Bombyx mori: one gene and its partners. The protein of the gene in region 4 purifies or fractionates together with the protein of the main gene of each other region. This does not show direct contact. Links are inferred from orthologs where the notes say so. Each region holds a gene or a part of one and is shown on either strand. Other genes may lie near its edges. The genes, in order: vacuolar protein sorting-associated protein 52 homolog, EARP and GARP complex-interacting protein 1, vacuolar protein sorting-associated protein 51 homolog and syndetin.

The links.
Region 1: the proteins of syndetin (region 4) and vacuolar protein sorting-associated protein 52 homolog purify together in Homo sapiens (affinity purification with mass spectrometry; 4 studies listed by BioGRID and IntAct, counting the BioPlex papers as one, with this or other methods). This does not show direct contact. The link is inferred for Bombyx mori from reciprocal best matches to the Homo sapiens genes VPS50 and VPS52.
Region 2: the proteins of syndetin (region 4) and EARP and GARP complex-interacting protein 1 purify together in Homo sapiens (affinity purification with mass spectrometry; 4 studies listed by BioGRID and IntAct, counting the BioPlex papers as one, with this or other methods). This does not show direct contact. The link is inferred for Bombyx mori from reciprocal best matches to the Homo sapiens genes VPS50 and EIPR1.
Region 3: the proteins of syndetin (region 4) and vacuolar protein sorting-associated protein 51 homolog purify together in Homo sapiens (affinity purification with mass spectrometry; 7 studies listed by BioGRID and IntAct, counting the BioPlex papers as one, with this or other methods). This does not show direct contact. The link is inferred for Bombyx mori from reciprocal best matches to the Homo sapiens genes VPS50 and VPS51.

Annotation. Positions count from the first base shown.
Region 1 is NC_085110.1:11,268,786-11,273,786, forward strand, and holds the start of vacuolar protein sorting-associated protein 52 homolog, read left to right. Parts: upstream 1-1,719; 5' UTR 1,720-1,896; coding exon 1,897-2,142; intron 2,143-2,712; coding exon 2,713-2,858; intron 2,859-2,936; coding exon 2,937-3,504; intron 3,505-3,700; coding exon 3,701-3,856; intron 3,857-3,951; coding exon 3,952-4,070; intron 4,071-5,001. UniProt on the Homo sapiens protein: Acts as a component of the GARP complex that is involved in retrograde transport from early and late endosomes to the trans-Golgi network (TGN).
Region 2 is NC_085126.1:8,656,952-8,661,282, reverse strand, and holds part of EARP and GARP complex-interacting protein 1, read left to right. Parts: intron 1-1,057; coding exon 1,058-1,249; intron 1,250-3,680; coding exon 3,681-3,805; intron 3,806-4,331. UniProt on the Homo sapiens protein: Acts as a component of endosomal retrieval machinery that is involved in protein transport from early endosomes to either recycling endosomes or the trans-Golgi network.
Region 3 is NC_085115.1:1,407,966-1,412,800, reverse strand, and holds vacuolar protein sorting-associated protein 51 homolog, read left to right. Parts: upstream 1-1,443; 5' UTR 1,444-1,813; coding exon 1,814-3,913; 3' UTR 3,914-4,245; downstream 4,246-4,835. Other genes in the region: uncharacterized protein LOC101737848, read right to left, coding at 477-651. UniProt on the Homo sapiens protein: Acts as a component of the GARP complex that is involved in retrograde transport from early and late endosomes to the trans-Golgi network (TGN).
Region 4 is NC_085130.1:17,523,517-17,528,528, reverse strand, and holds the start of syndetin, read right to left. Parts: upstream 3,333-5,012; 5' UTR 3,084-3,332; intron 960-3,083; 5' UTR 950-959; coding exon 857-949; intron 1-856.

The DNA of each region.
Region 1 (5,001 bases), on a different chromosome or scaffold from region 4:
CTTCTTCGATCCTTTCATAATGTAAATACAAATACAGTAAGGACATGGATATAGTAGCGACGTCGTTTCTTTTATTCCTATTTTTCCCCGGGTTTATATCTGTCAACTACTATGTCTATGCATGCAATACGTTTGAGTAACTGCGGCCTATCTAAGGTCAACCTACTTTAAGAATGGTAAACCTTGAACATCAGTTAGACAGTTAGGAAAATAAACTGCTACTAACTGAAACTACTACTACTAGAAATGTCAAATTAGGAAGTACGTCACGGTATTTTTTACTTGATGCCGAGATCCTGTCCGTTTGATAGTCGTAAATTGCAGTTAAACTTTCTTAAATATTAATATAAAACATAATTTATCAGTTAAATAGATCAACGAGAATATGTACTAAATATGTTCATATGTATGTGTACATAGGCATTCATTTATTCTATCTACAAGTCCTTTAATACAATTACAATATGCATAATTAATACAATGGCATTTCTTGACATTTCAATATAATTTTACTCTATTCTTAGTTGTGCTTTTGTTAAAGTTATACATTTTCTTTGTAAATATTTCTTGAGAATAATATCATTGATGCTTATGCATCCATTAAATTTGTGTGTTTATTTTTCATCCCTTGAATTTAATAAAAAACGTACTTTTCTAGAATATTTGAAGTCATCGTAGCTTAAAGGATAAGACTTCCGGTGCATTCGTGTTGAGCGATGCACCGATGGTCGAATCCCGCAGGCGGGTACCAATTTTTCTAATAAAATACGTACTTAACAAATGTTCACGATTGATTTCCATGGTGAAGGAAAAACATCGTGTAATAAAAATCAAACCCGCAAAATTATAATTTGCATAGTTATTGGTGGTAGGACCCCTTGTGAGTCCGCAATAGTAGGTTAGTACCACCACCCTGCCTATTTCTGCCGTGAAGCAGTAATGCGTTTCGAATTGATGGGTGGGACAGCCGTTGTAATTTTACTGAAACCTTAGAACTCATATCTCAAGGTGGATGGTGTCATTTACGGTGTAGATGTCTATGGGCTCCGGTAACCATTTATCACCAGGTGGGCTGTGAGCTTGTCCACCCATATAAATAATAAAAAAAAATCGAGTGTTTGTAGGTTTTGACAGTAAGGCCACAATCCTCACCCACACTTACTTAATTACTTTTTAAATTGACACATACCAAAACCATGTAACAAACTTTTAAAACTTAATTTCCCCACGCTACATAGAAAACCCACTACTGCCTTCAACACCCACAACCCACAACTCCAGGAGCCAACCAGTACTTGGAAGACTTCATACAGTTTCTTAGGGAAATAAAATCATATATTTTCTTGTGGGACGCCTATACATATTTTATATACATAATGAAGCAAAATGAGATGAAGTTAATTAATTTGAGACTGTAATCAATTCGGATGAAATTAAATGAGATGAGATGAGATAGAATAAAGTCTCAATAAAATGGTAGTTATTTAATATGAGATCAGAAACTGGAACAACCCGAGAAGCCACATTCAACACAAAACGAGGTTAATAAACTACCTTTATTACACGTTTAAATCTGAAGAAACCCTAAAATTAGGAAACAAAACCAACAAAACAAAAATTCATACAATTTCGCTCTTCGTGTTCGCGCCAAAGAGTCTGAGATTTTAATATTTTTTTTATTTGGCTGTATGGGCTTTGAACTCTTTGTCCATCCAGAAAGAAAAACGAAAAAAACGTCATAAGTAGTGTCACTGTTTCAGTGCTTTAAATTGTTTAAAACAACAAAAAAAATTAAATACAAAACCTAAAAATTCAAGTAAAATGTATGTGAATAGTTGAAAACGCACACAGTCAAGTATAAATGTTGATTTCCCGTCATTCCACTAGAGTTTAATCATGTCTGATAACAACAACATGAACTTAGACAAAAATCTTGAGGATTTCGAAATCCAAGAGGTTCTCCGTAATGGTACAGATTTGCGAGAATATGCTCTTCAAATCGACAAAGGAATCATCGAAGCTGAAAAAGCATCTGTTGCGGATTATTTGAGAGAAAGTGAGAATATTGGCTCCCTTCATAATCAAATCGAAGAATGTGACAATATTTTAGGGAAAATGGAGAGTATGCTACTGGTGTTTCAGGTAAATTTATCTCTATTTACCGCATAAAACAGATTTACAACACTATTATAGTTTTCAGCCCTTTGGTACCCACTGCTGGGCATAGGCCTCTCCTTTCACACAATAAAGATAGAAAAATACATCTCCTTGGAAAATAAAATAAATACAAAGCATGTTAGGGAATGCTAGGAAATAAAATATTTATAATAATGTGACTATAGAATACCTATTACCTTTATAGAAAAAAGTCTCAAATAAATGTTAATTTTTTAGTTTTTAGTGCTTGTTTAAAAGGCTTAGGAGTTCGACAGACAGAGAAACTATTATCAATAAGATCTAGTGAACTGAAATACCTCTGACAGTTAACTGAGAACTTTAATTTTAATTTCTAATTGAGTTGAGAGAGTTTGAGTTAATCTTGATACTATATCATACCTAAAGATTTCAGTACTGTGGAATTCCCTGGAATGTAAACATGAACTACAAACAGGTCCTACTTGCCAATAAACTGAAAATTTTGATGTTGAGAATAGCTCTATTGAAAAATGTTGTGCCTATTGTATTCTTTAATGATAACTTTTCTTGTAACAGAATGATTTAGGAAGCATCAGCAATGAAATTATAAGTTTACAAAAGCGTTCAGTGAATATGTCAGTACAGTTATCTAATAGACAAGTGCTTAAGGGACCTTTATCTGCATTCATAGAAGACATGGCAGTGTCGGAAACTGTTATATTGTAAGTGATTGCCTGGATTCATTTATCCACTTTTATGGATTTTAATTGTACTCTATTATATTTACTATTACATTCCAGTGGTATCAACAATGTTCCAGTTACCGACAAAGAATTCATGGTGCAGTTGGCAATTTTAAACCAAAAATTAAATTTTGTAAAGGAACAAGATTTCAAAGAAACTAAAGCTTGTCATGATGTCAAAGACGTTTTGGAAAAATTAAAGATAAAAGCAGTGTCAAAGATAAGAACATATATTTTAGAACAAATATATAAATTCAGAAAACCAATGGCAAATTATCAAATACCACAAAATGCCATGCTGAAATACAAATTTTTCTTTGAATTTGTATTGACCAATGAACGAAATGTGGCTCAAGAAATTTGCAATGAATATATTGATACATTGAGCAAAGTTTATTATTCATACTTCAAGTCATATGCATCAAGACTAGATAAATTGAAATATGAAGAAGCACCCAACAAAGATGACTTAATGGGAATTGAGGATGGATCTAAAGGAGGATTCTTCCAGAAATCTAATTTAAAAAATAAAAGTACAATATTCACTATAGGGAATAGAGGTGATGTTCTGGCCCAACAACTAGAAGCACCCATTATTGTACCACATGTTCAGCAAAAAACAAAGGTACAAAATACAATATTACAAATTTCATTTGGTTTCTCGTTTATAGAATCAAGTGATTAAAATCTTTTCATTCCTAAATAAAATATGAAATTAACAACTTTAAAATATTTATTGCTTGCTGTATGCATATCATTTTTTTAATGACACTATATTCATGTTTTGATCCACTTCTTGATAATAAATAAATTATTTTCAGTATTCATATGAAGCCTTATTTAGAAGTCTTCAATATGCCTTGGTAGACAATGGTTGCAGAGAATATCTGTTTACCACTGAATTCTTCCATGTCAAAGGAAACCATGCACAAGAGCTCTTTGATAGAATCCTCGGTAAAACATTGTCCGTGCTTGTAGTGAGTAAACCATTAAAATTATGTACATAAATATTTATTTCTGGAAATTGAATAGTCTGAATTGAATTGAATCATCTTAATTTTTTATTTTACAGAAAAATGTGGAAAACTATGTAGTTGAATGTTATGATTGTTTGGCACTATTTCTTTGTATCCAATTAATAAACAGATATAAGTTAATGTGCCATAAAAGAGCAGTTGCGGCTCTGGACAGGTGAGAATTCATATTAAGAAATGTATCGACACTGACAAACCTTCATTTAGAAGGGTAAGAGCTAATATGGCAAAGAGTAAATAAATATAGGGTTAATCAGCCCTGAGGCGACACTTGTATGTCATGTTCGACCCACCATAAACCCACTCAGTCCTCAAGTCTCATCTTGACTTTAGTGTTTGGTTGAAACTTACTTCTGCTTAACATAACAGTTCTATGTTTGAGTTTGTAGTTTTCCTTATCTTAAACCCAATGCTGATGAGGCCCGTCTCTCCGAATTACATAAGCCATAGAATACTATATACATTGTGAATACCAGACAAGAACTGGCTTTTGATATTGAATGCATATCAATATACTAGTTTTTGCCCGCGACTCCGTCCGCGTGGAATAGTTACTTTGGAATAACGCTAAATTTTACTCCCCACTTCATTTATGTAGAAAGTAACAATATTTTGGAATTGTAGAATGTTAAGAAGCTATTGAAACCCTTATTTTGAAACATTTTTTATTGGTGCTCCACTTGTATTGATCTTACCGTGATGTTATATAACCTTCCTTGATAAATGGGCTATCTAACACTGAAAGAATTTTTTTAATCCAACTGGTAGTTTCTGAGATTAGCGCGTTCAAACAAACAAACTCTTCAGCTTTATAATATTAGTATACAAGTAGATTGTGCCAGTGCTGTTCATTTTGAGGGCTGTAACCATGAGATGATGAAACTGAGAAATCACTCATCATAACTGAATGCATATATTTTTAATATCTATGCTGCCCATTGAAGAGTTCCTTATTCAGAAACCAACCCTCAGCGCAGCAACACCATGTAACGATAAAATCTAAAATACACACATAATAAATGCGTACAACAAAATCTCATATCTATGCTGTGTACCTTTGAAGAGTTGCTTTACCTAAAGCTCATTTT
Region 2 (4,331 bases), on a different chromosome or scaffold from region 4:
TTTTATTTATTTTCATTGATGCACAAAAGAAATCACAATCATTACACTACATTACATATGAACTAAATCATACAAATAGTAACTAAATCTGGACTTCAATCTAAATCATACATGCACTCAGCAAACCCATATTAATGTACATAACGAGCGAGCCTCTAAATTAGTTATTTAAAACAAAAAAAAAAACATGTGTGCAATTCACACGTGGTAGAAGTGAAAAATTCCAAAATTAAAATACAATTATCCTAAACGTCTTAAGTATATGTAAAATTTTGTCATTAGTAAATAATTGTAAGATAGCGCCCTCTGTGAATTGATATTTTAATTTCACGTATAATAATCCTAAATTAAAATTCACTACAAGAGCTTTCATACACACGTTAGTATTAAAAAATCTCACAGATGACGCTGTATTAAATAGTATGTATATTTCTGTCTCATTCTTTGCTGGCTTCATCCTACACATTTTTGTATTTGTGTCTCTTACCTGTCGTTTTTTCCGTTGCATCCGGTTTGAAATCACAACGATTCTAAAGAAGTTTTCACTTCAACAAAATTACAAATAAAATTACGGGTTCCAGTGAAAGAAAAAAACAACAAGAAGTATCCATTATTTAGATAACTACAATACAACCAACACAAACATTAATCCCTTTCCAGGCTATAACATGATCAAGATTAATTCTCACACATTCAATATCGACAACTGGCCACTGTACGGTAGGCAGCGGCTTGGCTCTGTCCCTGGCATTGCTGAAGTCCATGGGCGACGGCAACCACTCACCATCAGGTGGGCCGTGTGCTCGTTTGCCTTCCAGGGTAATAAAAAAATACATCTGGCATATCCTTTGAGCTAGACTCAAGGTTAAAAAATATCAAAGTCTCTGTGACATTTAGCCAAATCGTTATACTTCCTGACCATTCTGACCATAGGGTTATAGTAGGATATATTATTTTTTATCTACGACCTTTAGTTTCTCTGTCCCCACGATATCTGCAGACTGAATGGGCCAGAACTCAGTGCTCTCGCATACAATGTGTCATAAAAAAAATCTAGAAGGCCGAAGAGGAGATCCGTTGCGCTGAGTGGCATCCTACGGACGCGGGGCGCTTGGGTGTCGTATACGAGTCCAGCGTGAGGGTACACGACGTGAGCTCTGGAGCTGCGGTGTGCAGCATGAAATCTGACGGTCGGACCAGGCTCAAGCTCACCGCCGGCAAGTGGAACCCGCATCAAGGTCACACTCAGGTGCGTTCTAAAATCATGGCTTACTCATCTTTAGGGCTACTGCGTCGTGATACACAGGCTTCTTGGCGTCAATTATGACGTTAAGGAAATTGTTTTTTTTTTTAATATTAAATGTTTCTTCTAAGATGCACAAATCATCAAACCAAAAAACGAATTTGCACTCCGTAAATTCCCATAGTTTCATATTATCTCGTAGTTAACAACAATTTCATTAAATTACATTCCATTTCACTGTTATTAAACAATAATTGTTAAATAGACGTTCGGCTCAAACGTCCAGGACATTAAAAAAAAATATAGCCATAAAAACAGGCTCGGAACTGTCCAGGCTATGTTATCTGGGACCATAATCAAGAACAATCATAGACATGACACGACATATTATTATAATATTATTTTCCAGATCTTTTAATTTCGACAATTCTTCCTCTGGCTTGTATGCTTTGCAATGGCACCACCTCTAGACATTCTCAGGACACATGACCTCTATCTATAAATGCCTAGAATTGATTTTCCCTTGGTAAACATAGTTAACACTTAAAATGTACAGTAAAGTAATATAATATAACTAGAAGACCCGACCACACGTTGCTATGGCTAAGGTTTTTGTTTCTAAAAAAACACGCGGCTGGCTATGCTAATACCATAACTTAACAAAGTAAGACCAATTGGATTACACTGTATTTCGTTTACTACGAAATAAATTTCACTTATACTTTAGTCTCAGCAACACGTGGTGTTTATGCCTTTAAATTGTAGCTTATGTGAAACTTTGGTATTTTAACACAGCGCCATCTATGAGATATTAATGTCAGACAGTATTACAATTGTCTGTAAAAACTGATTTAAGGCGCCATCTGTTTTAGACTTATGAAACATACAATTAATAACAATAATCAACATAAGAAATCATTTTATTGTTAATTAATAAATATTATGACCATTAATCGAAATAAAAACCATCCTATGGCCTAAATTGGATCAAACCCCTTATTTAAAAAAAAATAAGTTAAAATCGGTTCAGTAGTTTAGGTGTCCATCGCGGACAAATAATGTGACACGTAGTTTATATACCTAGTCAGGTCATAAATTCTGTCACATGTTTGATGTAAAATAATTGAAACAAGTTTATTCATTATGTAACCATTCATATACCAAAATGAACTTAACAAAACATAGATTCTTATGACACTAAAGTTTATTCAAAATGACCTCCGTGATTTTGAATACAGGCCTTCAATCTGCGCGGCCAGTCGTCTATCGCAGCACGAACGAGGTCCATGTCAATATCGGCGGCTGCCTTAATCAAGGATGTCTTGAGTGACTCCAAATTCGGATGAGGCTTTGAGCACGCCTTTTCCTCCAAGTGTTGCCATATCTTGTAATCTAACGGATTCAAATCTGGACTGGAGGAGGGCCAGTCTTCGTGCCGGATGAAGTCGATTTCACGCGCCGCCAGCCAGTCTTGTGTGCTCTTCGCTCTATGAGCTGGCGCCGAATCTTGTTGGAATACCCAGTGCCTGTTATTGAACATGGTATGAGAAACAGGTTCCACAAGGTTCGTCAGGACTGTATTTTGATACACAACTGCATTCGTTTTTACACCTTTCTCACAAAAATGTACCTCTGTTAAGCCCCAATAAGAAACTCCCAACCATACCATGAGCGAGGATGGAAAATGACCTCGTTGGACACGCGGAATACGGTTGCTCGCTTCTTCACTACTGTGTGCGTACACCTTATCATTTTGTTTGTTGTAGCTCTCTTCTACGGTAAAAATTTTTTCATCCGAAAAAAGAATTTCCCGATATTTTTTTCCCGCGTACCGCTTCAACAAAGCGCGGCATCTCTTCAGTCTCAGGTCCATTAGACCAGCATTCAAACGATGTCCTGTTTTTCTTCGACATGCCCGAAGCCCTAAGTCTTCATTTAACACCCTTTTCACCGTGGTTCTGCTTAACCCCATCTGAAGGGCCAACAGTTTATGCTTACGTTTGGGATTTCTTTGAATTCGCGCCTTCACAGCTTTTATCACTGCTGGAGTCCTAACAGACCGAGGGCGACCACTTCTTGACCTGTCATCTACACTAGAGTCTTCATTGTATCGTTTGATGGTACGATAAACAAATCTCTTGGTTATATTCAAATTTTTCAGTATGTTAAAAATTTGAATTGGCGCGTAACCGCAACGATGCAACGCAATAACTGCAACACGGTCTTCTTTAAACGTTCACTCCATATTTAAAAATGAGTAAAATTCTAAAAGTATACATTTTTATTTTCATGAACAATTCGAAATTCGAATTCAATAAACTTTTTTGTGGGCAGCAATCTAAAAGAAAAGTTTTTACTGTGTGACAATACTTATGACCTGACTAGTTATATTAAGAAGATAAAAGAATAATTGGTTTCTTTGGTTTCATATCAACAGTTTGCTGTTCTGCAAGATATGCACATAAAATGCTTCGACACGCGCACTGACTGCTCGAAACCATCTTGGAGCATAGACAACGCGCATAGACAATTAGTTCGGGATCTAGACTTCAATCCGAATCGGTAAATAACACAGAAACATGTTTTCCCTAAAATAAGTCCACTTTTTTTTTATTGCCTTTTGTAGGCAGACTAGCATACGGCCCAACTGATTATAAATGGTTACCGTCGCTCATGGACCTCAGCAATGCACAACGAAGTCGTTGTCTGCCATCAGAAAACAAAGGCATTTTTTAAATACATAAAATAAGTAGACGACCTCACAAATTACTTGGTGGCGCGTTACCGTTGCTCGTGGACATCACCTATTGAATGCAGCTTGCTGTGGCGGAGCTATCAGGGGCCCGTGGCAAATTCATTGGATGCGGCCCCAGTAAAAATCGTCATGCTACAAACTTAATTTTAATAAATTACTGAAATAGAATTTTAACGGCTGTCTGGTGTAGTGGTAAGTGACATGGTCACTACCCAAGGGGGTCGCGGGTTCGAATCCCGCCAAGGGAAGATATTTGTATGATAAATATAAAATATCTTTTCCAGGGTTATGGATGTATATTATAGATATATATGTGTTTAATAAAAATCTTAC
Region 3 (4,835 bases), on a different chromosome or scaffold from region 4:
TTTTTAAGTCAGGTATTCTAAGTGCCTTTTCAGCCTTGCCTTAGAAATTATTTATTTGTTTTTATTTATTTCATTTCCATTCCATATGACTTTGACAAATTTAGTGCTTTCCTTAGGACACAAATTTCCAAGATATCACAGTAGTTATTGAATTTTTCAGTTGCTACTTATGTTATTTGGTTTTAATACACGACGTCCTCGGATGTAAATAGGAACTACAATTTGCATTTTAAGGATTTCAAGTTTGATTCTCTTGATAAGATCGTTCTTAGAGCAATATGCAAATGTTGGCGAATAATACATAAGCCGTTTGTGATCACTAAAAGTCGGAAATAATAAAATGAAAACTTTAAACGAGATTTAAAAAAAAAAATTTTAATTAAAGGCCTACGGCTCTCGGAATTGAAGAACATCCGTTGAGAAATCTTTGGAAATTCAAACCTCAAGCCTAAGGAAGAGATATTGAATAGATTCACCTCGAGAGTGTAAAAATGGAATCTTACATTTTAAAGGTATCTTGTCAGTCGCCTTTTTGATAGACGACATCGTTTTCTTAACAGACGCAGGCGAAGCGCGTCCTTTAGTCTGATTAGTCTTCCCTACAATTCGTTGCACTTTAGGCGTAGGTTTGGGGACATCTCGAGGAGCCATCCTTACGTTTTTTGCTCCCAAGTTTTCTATTGTATATGAGAAGTATTTTAGCAAAAAAATCACAAAACAATTCGCAACAGAAAGTTTTCAAATTTAAACACACAAACTTCAAAATATATTTTTTTGGTTGATTCGTTATTATAGGCAAAGATATATTTGACTATACAACCAAATATTTTGTTATGAAAGGCTGGCTGTTGTCAGAAAACTCAAAAGGAGCGATGGGATATATTAAAAGAATTAAAAGAGAATTAAAAGAAGTGAGATAAGGGCAATAACATGAGATAACGTAATAAGAAGAAGAGGAAGGCTGCGTGGATGTTCCACCATGGATCTTCTGAACTACCATAGGAAATAATACAGTACCCGTGGTTCTTTTCTATATTTAGTGCATTACCCGTGTATGCTCATAAGTAATATAATTAAAATGAATATAAGTACTTTTCCCTACCAATGCTGATAGCTTTGAGAGGCTATTTCAGCTTCGCCTTGACGTGGTGAGCTCACAGGGTTCAAACCGGTTCAAACTGTTGCTAACACTGGCCCTAGCAAGAGCAGTGCTTTGCAAAATCTACCACCAAATCAGAAACGCGACCCATTGAGAAGATCCGGCGAGAAACTCAGTGGACTAGTAAGTACTGAGTACTTCGCTTAAAGGTCTTGTTACCAGGCCAGTCATAAAATATTCAAAAAACGCAGTACATAGCAGTACGTATGATAAAGATTACCTTGCATAAATTTTAATAATAAAAGCTAATTTGGCTTAAAAGACTTTGTTTCCAAGCCAGAAAAAATTATTTAAAAAAATGGGGAAATATTATCAAACGTACATACCTATATGTATGTATAGTATACAATGTATACATATGTTCATTATTGTATATACAGAAATAAAATATATAAGCTTTAATGTTTATTCTAAAACTGCATTTATAAGACGGAGTATTAGTAAAGTAGGAAATAGTATAAATAAACATAATTGTTCTCATTCTCATAAGGTCTTATCGACGTCAGTCCTCGCAGCTGAAATGTTGTGTTTCTAAATAGTTATTCTCTTTGGTAAATTAGAATTGCAGACGAACCAATAAACCGCAAATATATTTTATTAAGGAGATTAGCTTTAAACGAATCACTTTTATACCTATTGAACAAAGTACATAATATGGAGGAAGCCAAAGCGGTTAAAGAAAATCCTCTGGACATCGACAGCAGTAGTTTCAGCCCAGACGTCTACTTAGATTGTCTTCTAAAATGCGCTACCCTAAAGCAAGTAATGGACAAAGAAGCGGAAATTGTAACTCAAAGTCAATTTCTACAATCAGAAATGCAGACATTGGTTTATGAAAATTATAATAAATTTATTTCGGCGACCGAAACTGTACGCAAAATGCGTTCCGATTTTAAAATAATGCAAGAAGAAATGAATAAACTTAGCGAGAATATCAATAAAATAACTACATTCAGCTCTCAAATATCTGAAAATCTCCAAGGCAGCGGTAATAATGTTCGACGTTTGTGTGGTACAAGACAGCTGTTAGATAAACTTCAGTTCCTTTTCCTTCTACCTTCTCAACTTAACAAAGCAATAGCAGAAGGCAGATACAGTGATGCTGTACAAGACTATTCACATGCTCAGCGAGTACTCCAAAAATATGGCAATCAGCCTTCATTCCAAAGCATACAGACTGAGTGTTCAGAAATTATATTTGAACTGAAGAAGACACTCCGTGAAAGACTTATCAGTCCTAATACATCTGCAACTGAACTTGCTGAAAGTGTAGCCCTTTTAAGGCAGCTCCAAGAAAGTGATTCATCCTTACAAGATATATTCCTTAGTTGTGCAGAGAGTCGTCTTGACAAACACTTGCAGATGCTCAGTTCTATAGCTGAACATACAGACATTTTGGACTGGGTAGAAAAATGCAATAATACATTGTTGGCTGATTTAGCTATTATAATATCATGTTACAATGAAATGTTCGAACAGGAAGCTATCATACCCGAATTTGCTGATAAAATAATGATTCAAATTTTTCATTTATTCGAAGAGGTCATTAAAAGACCTGAGAACAACGGAACTGAAATGTTAATAAGGGGCCTTGATAAATTCTTCAGAAAACTCCAGGCTATGACCGAAATATCATCAAGTGATATGATGTCCAGTAAAGGCACTGAGGTTGTCATTCAGTGTATAAATCACAAGGCTATGGTACAGTACCAGAGCATACAGACTCAATTTAAAGACAGTCTTATGAAAGTAAGGCAGTCTTTGGCCAGTAAAGGATCAGAAACAATTGACTTAAAAGATATACTGAACTCCCTTCAAGTATATCTGATGCAAAAAATCCAAGCCTCACTCTTAGATCTAATGGCATTCTTACAAAATAATTTATCATTTGGATTAAAACCTTGGTGTGCAAAAGCAGTAGCTGATGCTTGCTCAAAAGTCATAAATGAAACTATGGCTAATCTTTCTGATCTGGTAAAAAAGATGGCTTGCCTTCAGACTTCAAATAACAACATTCCTTTTGAATTGCTACTTATACTAGCTAAGCTATGTTTGGATATGCAAGAGACTGGTGTCTCGACATTACAGAACCATCTTCTCAAACTCTTAGAAGAGGCTGCTCCTGGCCTCACTGTGGATAACAAGGATACTAGTAGTGTCATGGTCCACTTATCTACTGCAGCGCAGACTGCACTAGATTCAGAAGTTGTATTTATTGGCCAGACTGCAGCCCAAATGTTGAGAGTATCTGTATTAGCTAGAGATTGGTTGCGAGCTCCAGAACCAAGGGGGCCAAGAGCAGTATGCAGAAGAGTAGTGGAGACCTTAGCTAGTGCTGATGGTGCTGCATCTCAACTGTTTCCAACTAGTATTAAACCTTCTAGTGACTCCAGTCGGCGTACTATTTGGTCACGTGCTCCTTCTTCTTTTTCACCTCTTAATAGGATATTCTCTGAAAGAATTGAAGTGTTTAGTCCTGCAGGGGCAGACAGAGCTGCACTATCAAATGGTGCCCTAAAAGTAGCTTTGAAAGCATTAGTTGAATGTGTGCGCCTACGCACATTTGGAAGGCATGGCCTACAGCAATTACAAGTTGATGTTCACTTTCTACAGCAAAGGCTTTCATGTATGGGCAATGATGAGAGGCTTCTAAATGCTTTGCTTGAAGATGCTTTAGCATCAGCACAGTTGAGATGCGTTGACCCACAACTAATGGAACCTAGTATTGTAGATATTATTTGTGAAAGAGGTTGAAGGAGAAGAACATGATGCTTGTATTGATAAAACTGGCTTAATTATCATATGATTCAAATTTAGATTAGTCTAGGGACTTAAATACCAATCTTAAATCTATACTATCTATACTAATATTATAAAGAGGAAAGATTTGTTTGTTTGTTTCTTTCGAATAGGCTCCGAAACTACTGGACCGATTTGAAAAATTCTTTTTCCATTAGAAGCCGACATTGTCCCTGATGAACATAGGCTACTTTTTTTTTTTTTTTTTGGTTTCATGTGTGTTTTAATGTTTCCGAAGCGAAGCGAGGGCGGGTCGCTAGTATTAAATAAACAAACAATTATTTATACTTTTAGTAGTTTTATTTATAACCCATTAATCAAAATTGCATCATATTAAAAATAATATCATCTACATTTATAAAATTTCATGTTAAATGCTTCTAAAACATAAATCTCACAAGACTGCTACTCTGTTTTTTGCATTTTTGTTAGTCACGTAGATAAACATCATTAAAATTAAAAACATTTTAATATACTATTCAAAACAGACATTATTTATATATTTTGGTCCTAGTTCACTAAAAAAATTATGATGATCATCGCATTTAGATTAGTTCATCGTAGTGGTAAATGATCAAGGTTGATGTATTAATTAAGAAAAAAAAAGATAAGTAGGTAATGATAGTTATTGGCAACAACAGATATTTCATCCTTAATCTTGAATCTATAAACAGGTGACGTATTGAAGATATAATGATTTGAAGTTAAAATCATGTTGATGTTAATTGATGGATACAACTAGACCGTGAAATTTACTATTGCAATAGATTCACTATTTCCTAATGAATTGGATCAGAAAGTCTCAGTGGATAGTAAATAATATTTAATCTGTTTACATATAGAGTGTAAGAATCCCGATTTAGAAAAGGAAACTTTA
Region 4 (5,012 bases):
GAAACAGCGAACGGATCACCTGAAGCGAAGCGGAAGAAGTGAACTAAGAGTTGTAAAGTGTTCGTAAGTGTTTTAAGTGTTAAATAGAGTTTTAATTTGTACTTCGATAGAATTTTTATTTATTCCGAACCCCAACGCGTTACAATATTATCGACTGATCGCTTATCCGATACCAATAGTTCCGATTACTGACTGACTGCGAGCCATCTTTGCAACGCTTTTATAGCCGATACCACAGCCCTAGAATTATCGACGATATTCCACATTTTTCGAGAATTATGTTTCCGCTATCTGACAATAGATGGCGTTGTACTTCTCGAGCGTTCTAGGTGCTACTAGATCCTTCGATATCCGTTCGACTATTCGACGATAGATGGCGTTACTCTTACCGGCGTAACAATATATGTGTTTAGGATTTAGTATCAGAGAGAATGAGATTGAATATTTCAAAAGGTTTCATGTCTAATGTACTCAATGAATAATGTATGCCGATGTATGTTCAAGTTTCACTTGTTATACACATACTTCTCCGGTGTGATTGAGTCTTTGACATCATGGCATAAAAAGCCCACTCAATTTCTCGCCGGATCTTCTCAATGGGTCGCGTTTCCGATCCGGTGGTAGATTCAGCGAAGCACTGCCCTTACTAGGGTCAGTGTTAGCAACGCCTCCGGTTTGAGCCCCAAGAGCTCACCTACACGCTAGGGATATAGCTTCTCAAGGCCATCAGCATAGGTAGGGAAAAAAATTTGGCATAAAATGAATATGTCGTCTATGGACTGTAGCTTAGCATGAGGTGAGCCCTACAATATCAAAACGGAATACTATTTGTTGTGCGACATATTGATATACAAACCTCAAGATCAGCAGCAGAATGAGCAGAGCTGAGCGACCTCGAGTTGACTCCGGGAGGACCACGGCGGTTTTCGACAACATCATTGGACAGCATGTTGCAAGACCTATTTATAACATCATTACATTGAAGGGTGAAAGGGTATTTCGTTTAAGCGACATTTATCTTCATAATTAAAGGTACGAATTATTTGGTACTAGAGGTCCCGCAGTAATCGAAATTCGACTATAATTAATTGAAATTGTAAGTTTGTACACTATTATGATTGTATTTTATACATCTATAATCAAAAATTTCGCCAAGACTACACTATAAAAAATATTAATAAAGACAAACAATATTTAATCTATTCTCAATTTGACAACAGACGCCAAGAACAAAAGTTTGACAAAAAATAGTATGCATGCACGTGTGCGTCAAATACATGGTATGTAGTGTGTGTAATGTTTTCTTTAATGATTTAATGTATCTTTTATGCATTATTTTAAAAATATATTAGCATTGTGCACTTCTTCTCTAAATTCTCTATAAGTGTGGAAAATTTCATACTCCTCTGTTCGCCCAATTTGCCTAAAAAGGGATACAAAGTTTTTGCTTCACGTATTAATATATAGATTAGCATCGACAGTTCGATTTTTTCAATTGAACTTCAATTAAGTTTACTCCACTAGATGATGACCGCTAGATGATAATGATATAATTTTTTTTATAATGCCATTTTGCAGTGTCTTTAAAGCAGTTAGTTGCTCTCAATTAAGAAAAATAGTATTATCTTATACCTTTAAACGAGAAATTCTTGTATATATATATAATCTGAATCTCGGAAACGGCTCCAACAATATTCATAAAATTTAGTATACAGGGGATTTCGGGGGCGATAAATCGGTCTAGCTAAGATTTATTTTCGGAAAATGTTGTTTTATTCGTGTTTTCAATAATCAACTCTTCCCGACATCTATTGGCAGATAATAATACTATTTTTCTTAATTGAGGGCAACTAACCGCCTTAAAGACACAACAAGATGGCGTTATAAAAAAAAAACCCGTCATCATCTAGTGAGTAATGAAATTAAAACACTGGTGGTATAAGTGGTATAACCACCACGTCCATTTCTGTAGTGAAGCAGTTATGCGTTTCGATTGGTAATTACTTTTTTGCTTCTTTTTTTTTTATTGCTTAGGTCGTCGATCTCTCGGCCCATCTGATATTAAGTGGTTACCGGAGCCAATAGACATCTACAACGTAAATGCTGCAACCTACCTTGAGATATCAGTTCTAAGGTCGGTCATCATATAGTTATTATTATTCGCCAATAGATGTCGGGAAGAGTCATAAAGTTGATTATTGAAAACACAAATAAACATTTCCTGAAAATAAATCGTAGCTAGATCGATTTATCGCCCCTGAAATCCCTTGTATATAAAATTTTATAAAAATCGTTGGAGCCGTTTCCAAGATTTAGATTATATATATATACAAGAATTGCTCATTTAAAGGTATAAGATTCAAATAGCTGAAGGGGTTTTTTTGATATGATATTTTTTAACAATTTCAAACTTTATATAGCTCTCCTGTAAAGTTGCAAAAATGTAATTTATCCAAATACCTTCACTCCCTCATTATGTACGTATTTAAATTACAAACAAAAACTCGTATATAAAAATTGGTTATTATTAATTGCCTCATTAGTCTAGCGATGACTGAACAACTGCATTTTGGGTTTCCATAAAATTTATTTTTGCAGTATCATACTTATCTTCATTTACATATAAAACGCTATAAGCTATTTGCTTCGTAATTTCAAACAAAAGTAGTTATCCCTATGGGAATTACGTTACTATGAGTATTAAATCTTTGCACATAGTTGCTTGTATTGCATTTTATTTATTGCCTATGTTGGCCGACGTGGTGTTGTAGTTATCGTCAGTCGTAGACGTCATGCCAGTTCCTCCAAAGAGGTAGTGGACAGTCTAAGGCAATAGGCAGCATGTAGGAACAACTTTACTGACTCTGAGTATATAAGCTTTATTATTTTTTTACTTTTATACCCTAATTTCAAGATAAACTTTAAATAGGGGCGCAGAATATCTTTGATTTGTTTCGAAGTTACTAAAATATCAGAGTGAAATGACTACTGTAAAACTGTTTCAGACACTTCCGCGTGACCTCATAGCAGGAAAAAACTTAGTTGCTGCGTAAATAGAAGTAAAACATTGAGTAAATACTGACCTGAGTTATTTATTTTGGTTATTTATTGAAACACTTCAAGATCATACGTGCGTAGCGCATACTATGCATGTTACTGCTTAAACTAAATATTTTAACTAATTATAACTTCTCTGTGAAAAACACTGAGATTAAATCTTAATTCGTTACATTATTTAAATATAATTCATTAATATATATTTGTTTTTTTTTTATAAAAACAAAGTTTCGCTTGACTGTTTGACATTGAATCGTTCTCAATTGACATTTGACATTGAGATTTGAGTTTTCGTTAGCTTTTTTTATTTGTCAAATGATTAGCAAAAGGAGCAGTGCCAATTCTACCAAACATTTAGATTATATCTGGTGAGATAAAACCACATCGAGTGGATGTTAAATGAGATAGAATGTCGTAAGCAGTTAAATGGTGAGTTATCACCTCAGAAAATAGGTAGATATCGCATAGAGTACCTAAAGCTCTCAGTTCAGTGGACTTACTAAAATAACCCAAAACTACACTTGAGCACCTCCAGCTATTTTGTTTCCTATTCCCAAACTTGTGACTAATCATTAGACCTTTGTGCCGGCCACTGACATGCGCGCAAATATTCGTACATTGTACGAATGTTTGCGCGCATGTGAAGGGCCGTCAAACATTCATTCGCAAACCTAGCGGCTGTGCAAATGGGTTCGCATTCTCAATTTGCGAACCCGTTTGCGCTTCCTCCTACACTTGTTTACGAATGTCTCACGAATTTCTCCTCCTTTTTAATTCGTCAACAGAACATTGAAGAGAAAAATAGTTTTTAATTCTTTACCAGACATCATTAACAGCCATGCTGTTTTTATGGGATTTCTTTTGATGAAGATACGCTACACAGTAGACGTCACGAACTATGAAAATGGCGTATAGTATACGTCCGTTACCTTCGCAATCGTCGGCGCAACTGGGCAAGTGAATGTGTGGGAGACTACGCGAAGGTTCGAGGTTCGCGCGCTTTGATGTCTGTTAAAAAACCGACACAGCTTGGAAAACCACGAATGCAGCGAAAACTTTGCATAATCATTCGCAAATGTCGTCCTACAGTTGTGGGTTTGCGTATTCGTGCGCATGTGAGTGACCGGTGTTGGAATTGAATGATTTCTATGAAAAAGTTACTAATTTTAAGATTTTTATTGAATGTACCTTTAGCCGTAAGCATCTGTAATTTATTCCAAGTCGTTGAAAATAATAGTACTGTTTTAAGCTTAATGATCAGCTTAACACGCTTTTTGTAGCATGAGTAAAACATAGCAACTCGTTGATTTTTTTTCGTACCTATGCTGGTAACCTCGAGCGGCTATGCCTGCTTAGTCGGGCTGGCACTGGTACTGCGAGTTTGTTTATAGTGCTGACCGCGGGAACCCCCTTACTCTAACCAGCTCAGAACCCGGTCAGAGTAAGGGGGTCAGAACCCCGGGTGGAGATAGGACGTTGGATGTAAAAGTGCAGGGGAGTCGTTTAGTGCGGTAGGGCCCTAAAACGTCCTTGGGCCTGCGGTCTGCTCTCATCTGCAGATCGTCAAATCCTACATAACCCGCACGCCCCCTAGGCGTGCCGACCTCTATTGCTTAGATGGGTGGACGAGCTCACAGCCCACCTGATGTTAAGTGGTCACTGGAGCCCATAGACATCTACAACGTAAATGCGCTACCCACCTTGAGATATAAGTTCTAAGTATAGTTACAACTGCTGCCCAACCCTTCAAACCGAAACGCATTACTGCTTCACGGCAGAAATAGGTAGGGTGGTGGTACCTACCCGCGCGGACTCACAAAAGGTCCTACCACTAGTAAAAATGGTCTAAATGGTTATGGCACCCTTTAGATGTGTGCAAAGTTTTATATCAATTGGGGGACTAGTTCACGAGTTTTAGGTACACATAAATACACACATTCATTCTTTTTTATGTA